Mus musculus: one gene and its partner. The protein of the gene in region 2 interacts with the protein of the main gene of each other region in a pairwise test. Links are inferred from orthologs where the notes say so. Each region holds a gene or a part of one and is shown on either strand. Other genes may lie near its edges. The genes, in order: Parp11 and Gtpbp3.

What was found.
Region 1: the proteins of Gtpbp3 (region 2) and Parp11 interact in binary tests that used the Homo sapiens proteins (3 or more experiments, as listed by UniProt). The two-hybrid records come from large-scale screens. The link is inferred for Mus musculus from reciprocal best matches to the Homo sapiens genes GTPBP3 and PARP11.

Annotation. Positions count from the first base shown.
Region 1 is NC_000072.6:127,491,336-127,494,776, forward strand, and holds the end of Parp11 (protein mono-ADP-ribosyltransferase PARP11), read left to right. Parts: intron 1-83; coding exon 84-400; 3' UTR 401-2,926; downstream 2,927-3,441. UniProt on the Homo sapiens protein: Mono-ADP-ribosyltransferase that mediates mono-ADP-ribosylation of target proteins. Plays a role in nuclear envelope stability and nuclear remodeling during spermiogenesis. Inhibits the type I interferon activated signaling pathway.
Region 2 is NC_000074.6:71,487,092-71,491,697, forward strand, and holds the start of Gtpbp3 (tRNA modification GTPase GTPBP3, mitochondrial precursor), read left to right. Parts: upstream 1-1,636; 5' UTR 1,637-1,696; coding exon 1,697-1,749; intron 1,750-1,979; coding exon 1,980-2,227; intron 2,228-2,336; coding exon 2,337-2,423; intron 2,424-3,243; coding exon 3,244-3,446; intron 3,447-3,563; exon of another isoform or gene 3,564-3,803; coding exon 3,804-3,876; intron 3,877-3,974; coding exon 3,975-4,118; exon of another isoform or gene 4,119-4,333; coding exon 4,334-4,499; intron 4,500-4,606. UniProt on the Homo sapiens protein: GTPase component of the GTPBP3-MTO1 complex that catalyzes the 5-taurinomethyluridine (taum(5)U) modification at the 34th wobble position (U34) of mitochondrial tRNAs (mt-tRNAs), which plays a role in mt-tRNA decoding and mitochondrial translation.

The DNA of each region.
Region 1 (3,441 bases), on a different chromosome or scaffold from region 2:
TCAGAATGCTGTTCCCCTGACAGAATGTTGTCTCCCCGAGTTTCATGTTTTCCCCAAAGTAACCTTGGCCCTTTCTGTTGAAGGAACCTATTTCGCTAGAGATGCTGCGTACTCCAGTCGTTTCTGCAAAGATGACATCAAGCACGGGAACACATTCCAGATTCATGGGGTCAGCTTGCAGCAGCGACATCTGTTCAGAACCTATAAATCCATGTTTCTTGCTCGAGTGCTAATTGGTGATTACATAAATGGAGACTCGAAATACATGAGACCTCCTTCCAAAGACGGGAGCTATGTGAATTTGTATGACAGCTGTGTGGATGACACCTGGAACCCAAAGATCTTTGTGGTTTTTGATGCCAACCAGATCTACCCTGAGTACCTGATAGACTTCCACTGACCCTGCCTCCCAGGCTCAGTGGTCAGAGCTTTGCTCTCTCATTACAGGAGGATTTGATCCTCTGTCTCCTAGCCACTAATATAAATATTGGATTCTTTTGAAACAGATACAGAAAAGAAAGCGGCCTCAGTATATAAAGAAGTACTGGCTGTCAGGTTGGTTATATGTTGTTCTGTTTCTGTCTGTTCCGGTTTTGTTAAAGACCGATGCTGTTGCCATCTTAACATACAGGAGAAAGAGCTACTTCTCAAAACAGAATAGGTTGAGTCTCTCATTACCATGATCAGACAGTCTTCAAAGTGCACACGCATGTGACCAGGTCAAATGATTTTAGTTTTTGTACCCTATTAGGAGAACTGGACTTTTATAAATTGAATTTTGGCATTATTATCTATCAATGAACATGTGACTTTGTTGGTCTTCTGAAGGGGGAATTAAAAATCCCGAAACAGCCCCTGGTGCTCAGCGAAGTAAGAAACAAGGACATTGTCTGCTGTGCTGGTAGGTAAGCCAGCAGAAGAGAGACAGGGCAGAGCCTGCTTCTCACTGCTAGAGGAAAGTGGTCTGTAGCCCCAGAGCAGTGCACACTATTCTCACCCATCTCCCACAGTTGAGCTGAGCACTGCTGCTAAGGGTCACTAGCTCACAGTTCAGCTTCGAGCAGTCTGTCGTCCCTGCCCCAACTTATTTATTTCCTTTGTTTTCCAAGCCCTGCAGAGGCTTTATTGGTCCTCCCACAACCCCTGAGACACACATAGCTGTTCCATGGTGATTCCTAAGAACCACACGTGTTAATAGTTGGTGTCATTCTCTTTTGAATGATTGTGAAGAACATGAGATGCTGGGAAGAAGTCTGATTTCTTCTTTAGAGTAGTGATTGACAACTTCCAACCCCTGAGCAGCTATGTGCAACTGAGAGTTGTGCTCGTGGCTTTGTGTACCTGTCTGTTTGCCTGCTGTTCTGTCCCAAAGAGGAAGTGATCTGTACCAGCTAACTGCCCAGCGGTTTTCTAGCAGAGATGAGATAGCACTCAGGCATGATGCTAAGTGTTCAAGTGTCAGACAGGGAGCTGCCTGTATGATTGTCTCCCCAGCGCTGCTTTTTCCCTGATTCCTTGTGGGGAAGGAAGGTCATTCCTCCAGTCATATCACCCAGAACCTTTTCCTAGCTCTCAATACTGAATCTTGTCTCTGCTATCCCCATCCAGCTTTGGGTTCGAGGACTTGAGCACAGGTTAGCTTCTGGTGCCTGTATTGTTCTCTTCAGTCACTCAAATTGGGAAGCATCTAGAAAGAATATATGTGTGAAACAGGATTATGGATAGTGGCTTTTGTAAGGATAGCCATTCATTCAGCTTTGTAAACCATCAGATTCTCCTTCTGGCCCAGAATGTGTGTTATCGCACAGTGGGAAGTACAAGAGTGGCTCTCGGGAAATTATGCACAGTGCTTTGGCACACGGTGGCAGGAATGACTCCCTGGCTCAAATGTGGAGGTCCACCATTGGTTTAAGAAAGGCTAGAAAGGACGCATTTCAAAGCCACCAGTGGTCCCTGCAGCAGTGCCTGAAGGCAGAGTGGCTAGGTTGCCTGGCCGCTTTCAAGAATCAGTGTTAGAGGCGTTGGGAGTTCAGAGTGAACAGTCTCTCTTCTAGTTCTTTTCTCCTGGTTTTGTTTTTGTTTGTTTGTTTGTTTGTATGTGTGTGTGCGTGTTTGTTTGTTTTTCCAGACAGGGTTTCTCTGTGTAGCCCTGGCTGTCTTGGAACTCTCTCTGTAGACCGAACTGGCATGCAATGTGTTAAAGTCCCTCTTACATGGCTGTCTGCCCGCCTTCCTCTCCCCCCCACCCCCCAGCTCCATGCACACTTCTCTCAATACTTGAATGGAATGATTGTTGTAGTTGAGGTTGTTTCCTTCTAGACCTGTGCATCCGTGTCAAGGTGACTGAGAACGCAGGCAGTCTGTGCAATCACTCTCCCGTGTTGGCATGCATGAGGGAGGTTGGGGGGGGGGGTGTCAGAGAGGCCACCGTAAAGAAGCATTGCACCGCTGTTGTTGGGACAGACTGCCAACCCCCTTCATAAGGAAGACGTGATCTCGGTACGTGTTTTAAAATATAATAACGTAGAAGTCACTCGTGTTAACGTTGTACTGTTTTGTCTGTTCCATGTATAGAAGAACATCACTCCCTCTGCTCATCCCACGGAGTGGGAGGGAGAGCAAAGGGAGCTCGTGCAGAGTGGCGAGCTGTGCCGCAGGCTGGCTGAATAAACTCCATTGAGTACAAACTTGTCCTTTCTCTGCGGGGAGTCTAGCCTTTGGGTAAAAAGAAATGTGTTTATGGGAAAATGTTTTCCTGAATCTTTTATCTCCCACCAGGAATGTTTGAGATTAGTGGATTATTTCATTTCTAGACTGGTGGTGGAGGTGGTGATGGAGAATTCTGATATTCAATGTCTGAGTGTATTGTTTCTACAATTGTTGATTAAAGTTTTCTGTATCAGGTCTTGGCTGCCTGTGTGTGCTATATGTGTGCTTCTGGTTTCTGGGTCTTGGTTTCAACCTGAATTTTCCTCTCAAACTTCTTAGACTCTCAGGGAGTTCTCAGTAGATGTTGCTCTGGGGGCACTTCTTGGTCTTAGTTTTGGTCGTTGTGAGCAATAGCTGATCAAGTAACCTGAGGATGAAGATATGTCCTCGGCTCTGTTAGGAATTATGACTAGATCCAGGCCTGGTGGGTACATTACACTTCCCTTAAAGGTTCCTGGCTCAGAGGATCAGTTGTAGGGGTATGCCAGCCACTCCCACTCGCTGGCACTCCCAGCAATCTAAGATCAGCTTTGCTAAACAGAGCAAAGGGCAGCATGATAGACCTCGCCTGTGACCGTGACAGACATCCCCAAGATTGCGTCTCTGTCTGTCTAAATGTTCAACGGTAGTAAGCTTCACGTGATAAAATTACGTTGAGTTTTGGTTGGTAGTTAAGTGTACCATCTTCATGGGTGTTTCTGACTCAGTGGATCTGAAGAGATCCTCTGAGAT
Region 2 (4,606 bases):
GACAACTACACAAAGAAATGTTGTTTGTCTGAAACTTTTATGTTCTGGGTGATCCTAGGTGGGAAGGGAGGCTGTCAAAAGTCCAGCTTGCTGGGAAATGCTCAACCACAAAGCTAAGCCTGATACCAGATTTTTAAAGAATGTTTGTTTGTTGTGGGCAGGAGCGCTTTGGCGAGTGTATGGAGGTGAGAGGACGGACACCTGTGGAAACTGATTCTTTCCACCATGTGGGTCCAGGGGATTGAACTCAGGTCGTCAGACTTAGAAGCAAGCACCAAAACCCACAGCCCTGATCTCCCATGTTTTCCCACTTCAGAGTGGCCCACCCTGAAGTCCTGTGAGCACTTAGTAGGTAATGAGCACTTGCTCTAAACGTGTTAAGATGGAACCACGGGGGCCGGGCACTGGTGGCGCACGCTTTTAATCCCAGCACTTGGGAGGCAGAGGCAGGCGGATTTCTGAGTTCCAGGCCAGCCTGGTCTACAGAGTGAGTTCCAGGACAGCCAGGGCTACACAGAGAAACCCTGTCTCGAAAAAAACAAAACAAAAACAAACACACAAACAAACAAAAAAGATGGGACCACAGGAGATGGACAACGTCACTGTCCCTGTTTCACAGACTGAAAGTAGGGCAGATGGGAACCTGAGGGCTTTGAGACTATACTGTACCCGGCAGCACTAACTAAAGAGCGCCCGCCCGCACAAGTCGAGAACCAGAGAATTGGCAGTGCGAGGGCGCTCGCGAAGCCCCGCCCGCCCAGAACCTGGTATTCGAGCCTGCTCCTTCACCCCGCAGTTCAGTGCTGTCCCGGGTTAACCCGAAGTTAACTGGAGGCCCCAGGATGCCTATCCCGGAACACACATCGGACCTGCGGCCAACCGGGACCCCGAAGAGGGCGGGGAAGCCAGGGCTGGAGCTGGGCTGGAACCGCCAGAAAGGCTTCCTTGCCTGGGGATGGCGCCTGGCTAAAGATACTTGCCCAGGAGCTGCAGCTGGCAAAGATGGGGTAGCGGGGATCAGTGAAGAGACACAAGAAGGGCCAGGAAGAAACTTCCCAGAAGTTTGGACCAGATTTTCCCTGACCTAGGGCGTGGCTTCTCCCGGAACTCATCCCCTGCAGTCACTAAGATGCTTTGAGTTTTCTGTCTCTAACTGGGTGTAGAATACCCCGACCCCACCTCCCTCGTGATGGTGAAAGGACAACTTGCACAAGTCTGGTCTCCTTCACTAAGCTGATCCCGGGGATAGAACTCAGATTGTCAAGTTTGGCAGCAAGTGCCTTCTGCGCTGCCTTTCATGGACTTTACAGTCGGAGCGCACACATAGCTTCTTAGCTTCTCTAAGACTACGGAATGGGCACAAGGAAAAGAAGGGCTCGAACCACCGCTGAGATATATCCTGCATTTTCTTCCTCCCACTATTGTGTCAGATACCTGTTGCTCTAGGAACCGAAAACTTTGCTCTGTGTTTCCGCGGGACACTCTTGCGTTGTACACACCCGCATCCCAACTTCGTTTCCCTTGGATCAGCCAATAGGAATCAAAATCTATAGATAGAGGGCGGGACCTCCTATAGGCGATCCAATGGTAGTTGAGAGTCGTACCGCTAAGTCACACCGCAAAGGGGCAGGACTTTCTTCCCGAACTTGAAGCCCTGCGGGAGTGTCGGCCAAGGTGCTTGCAAAATTGGAAATCCATGTGGCGTGGGCTGAGCGCCCTGGTGACCCAGGCGGCGTGGGCGCCCCTCAGGTGAGTGGCACGGACCCGCTGTCACGCGCTAGACGTTGCTTTAGGACCCAGGTTTGCCCCTGAAGTTCCAGACCCCGTTCCTCCTCCCGCAGCTGCCGTGTCTTTCCAAGCCCATCGCCTGGCCACCGCTCGTACAGCTTGGGCATCAACGGGCGACCATCCCTCCGTCCATGTTCACCCCGAGGCTCGGGTTTCTGGATGCGCTTACTCGTTTCCTTTCCGATCTCCAGGCTGTGCGCACGCTGCAGCACCAGTGCAGAGTCCTTAGTCCCCAGCAGCACCATCTTCGCACTCAGCTCCGGCCAGGGACGCTGCGCCATCGCAGTGATCCGCACCAGCGGTCCAGCTAGCGGGCTCGCGCTCCGCAGCCTCACGGCGCTCCAGGAGCCGCCTCCTGCCCGCAGAGCCTGCCTGCGCCTTCTCCGCCACCCGTGCTCCGGGGAGCCACTGGACCGCTCACTCGTCCTCTGGTTCCCAGGTGAGGGGCCGGATCCGGGAGCCCACGGCGCTCGTGTCCGGGTCTCAGTCCCCTCCAGGAGTCAGCCCGGGTCGTGCCCATCCCCTAACTCTGCTTTTTTCCATACAAGGACCCCAGAGTTTCACGGGTGAGGATTGCGTGGAGTTTCACGTACACGGAGGTCCTGCGGTGGTCAGCGGTGTCTTGCAGGCATTGGGTGAGGCTCTGTTGAGTGGCACTGTTCCTGGGGGAGACTAAAAGGTATTGGAGATAGACTGCAAAACACATTGTCATTTGGGAGAAGAGATGTATCATATTAACCCAGGCCTTCTAGATGACTCTGCCAGTAAAGGTGATTGTTGCCAAATGTGAACCCGAGTGGTGAAAGGTGAGAATTGATTCCTGCAGGCTGTCTTTTGACTTCCTGGTGTCACACACACACGCAGAGACTTCAGCATGGGGAGGACTTTGAGGAAAGCTCAGACTCAAGTGCATGTTTGGTGGTAGTTGTTTGGAGGAAGTGCTAAGTCCTATTTAGGGAGTTGATGAGTAGCTGGTACGATGTACCAGCGTACAACCAGGCTTTCTGTGATTTCTGGGTGGTGGGGATAGGGAGGGTCTTGCCTTTTCAGAAAGAATTGTGTCACCTTTACTTAATGTGTGTTCATCCAACAAGTTTGCCACAGGAAGCCCCTGATGGCCAGCACTCTGTCAGTCTGGGGCCTGCGTGTGTAATCAGCACTGATGGGGAGGGGCAACTGCAGGTGACCTCAACAGCTTGCTGGCCTGGGTTCTAAGAGAGATATCTACATCCCCCAGATGGGGTGTGGTGGTCACACCCAGTAACTGACCACTGACCCATTAGGGTCCAGCCCAAAGAATCAGTGAGCTTCCTGTGATTCCTTACAGGATCAGGGGACTCTGACGAAGTTGTGTCACCTGAAAACCCACCTGGGGTTTGGTTTGTTGCTCTGCTGGCTGTTACCTGCCATTGGATGGGGACTCAGGAGCTTAGGCCTTGTGATGCTTTCCTGCAGGTAGTGTGCCAGGACTGCGGCCAGCCGAGGCCGGAGAGTTCACCAGGAGGGCATTTGCCCATGGCAAGCTGAGCCTGACTGAAGTGGAGGGACTGGCAGATCTTATCCGTGCAGAAACTGAGGCCCAGCGTCGACAGGCTCTGAGGCAGCTGGATGGGGAACTGAGCCAGCTCTGCCAGGGCTGGGCAAAGACTCTCACCAAGGCAAGCCTGCATGTTCACCCATTCATGTGTTCTCTTTTTCTCTTTAAGATTTATATTACTTATATTGTTTATGTTGTGTTTATGAGTGCTCTATTTGCTTGTATGTCTGCACACCAGAAGAGGGCATCAGATCCCATTACAGATGGTTGTGAGCAACCATATGGTTGCTGGGAATTAAATTCAGACTTCTGGAAGAGCAGCCAGTGCACTTAAACCAACAAGCCATCTCTCCAGCTCCATCCATGCATCCTTTAGAGAAAGTTCTAGGCCTGTGAGAGGCCAGTCTGGTTGTATAGATCAAACTGGAGTTAGACCTGAGACTGAGAGAGCACCTGTGACATCTCCCCTCCTCCCCAGGCTCTGGCCTATGTGGAGGCCTACATTGACTTCGGAGAGGATGATAATTTGGAAGAGGGTGTGTTGGAGCAGGGTATGTCTGGTTTTGGGGGAGTTGGGGCTGGCATTCAGCCCCCCCTGAGACCTTGCTGATAGCTCTCCCCCCCCCACCCCGCCTTTTCCCTCTCACAGCGGACAGAGAAGTTCGAGCCCTGGAGGTGGCGCTGGGTTCCCACCTGCGAGATGCTAGGCGTGGACAAAGGCTCCTCTCGGGGGCAAATGTTGTGGTCACTGGACCTCCCAATGCGGGCAAGAGCAGTCTGGTGAATCTACTCAGTATGTGGGGTTCAGGAAAGGATGGGATGGGCTTCTTCTGGGCAGGGGTGCAGCATCCTAGGGTTGCTGGACGCCTCCTCCAGCTGCAGCTTCCTGGACACTGTGGTGGCCCCACTGGTAGCTCAAAGCTACGAGAGTGGCAGACAGCGCCTCCTGAAAGTGAGGGCTTTTACCTCCACTCCGTGGTTCTTAATCACATTGTCCCTGACATTCAGGCCAAAAGCCAGTGTCCATCGTGTCCCCAGAGCCTGGGACCACCCGTGACGTGCTGGAGACTCCCGTGGACTTGGCTGGGTTCCCTGTCTTGCTGAGCGACACTGCAGGGCTCCGGGAAGGCGTGGGCGCTGTTGAGCAGGAGGGTGTGCGCAGGGCCCGCCACAGGTAGGTGGAAGGCTGAGAATGTGGCGGGCGACCAGTGACCTTTTCTCCCCATGAGTCGATTTCATGGAGGCTTCGTAATTTGAAGAGCAATCTTGACCTGTGTCCCT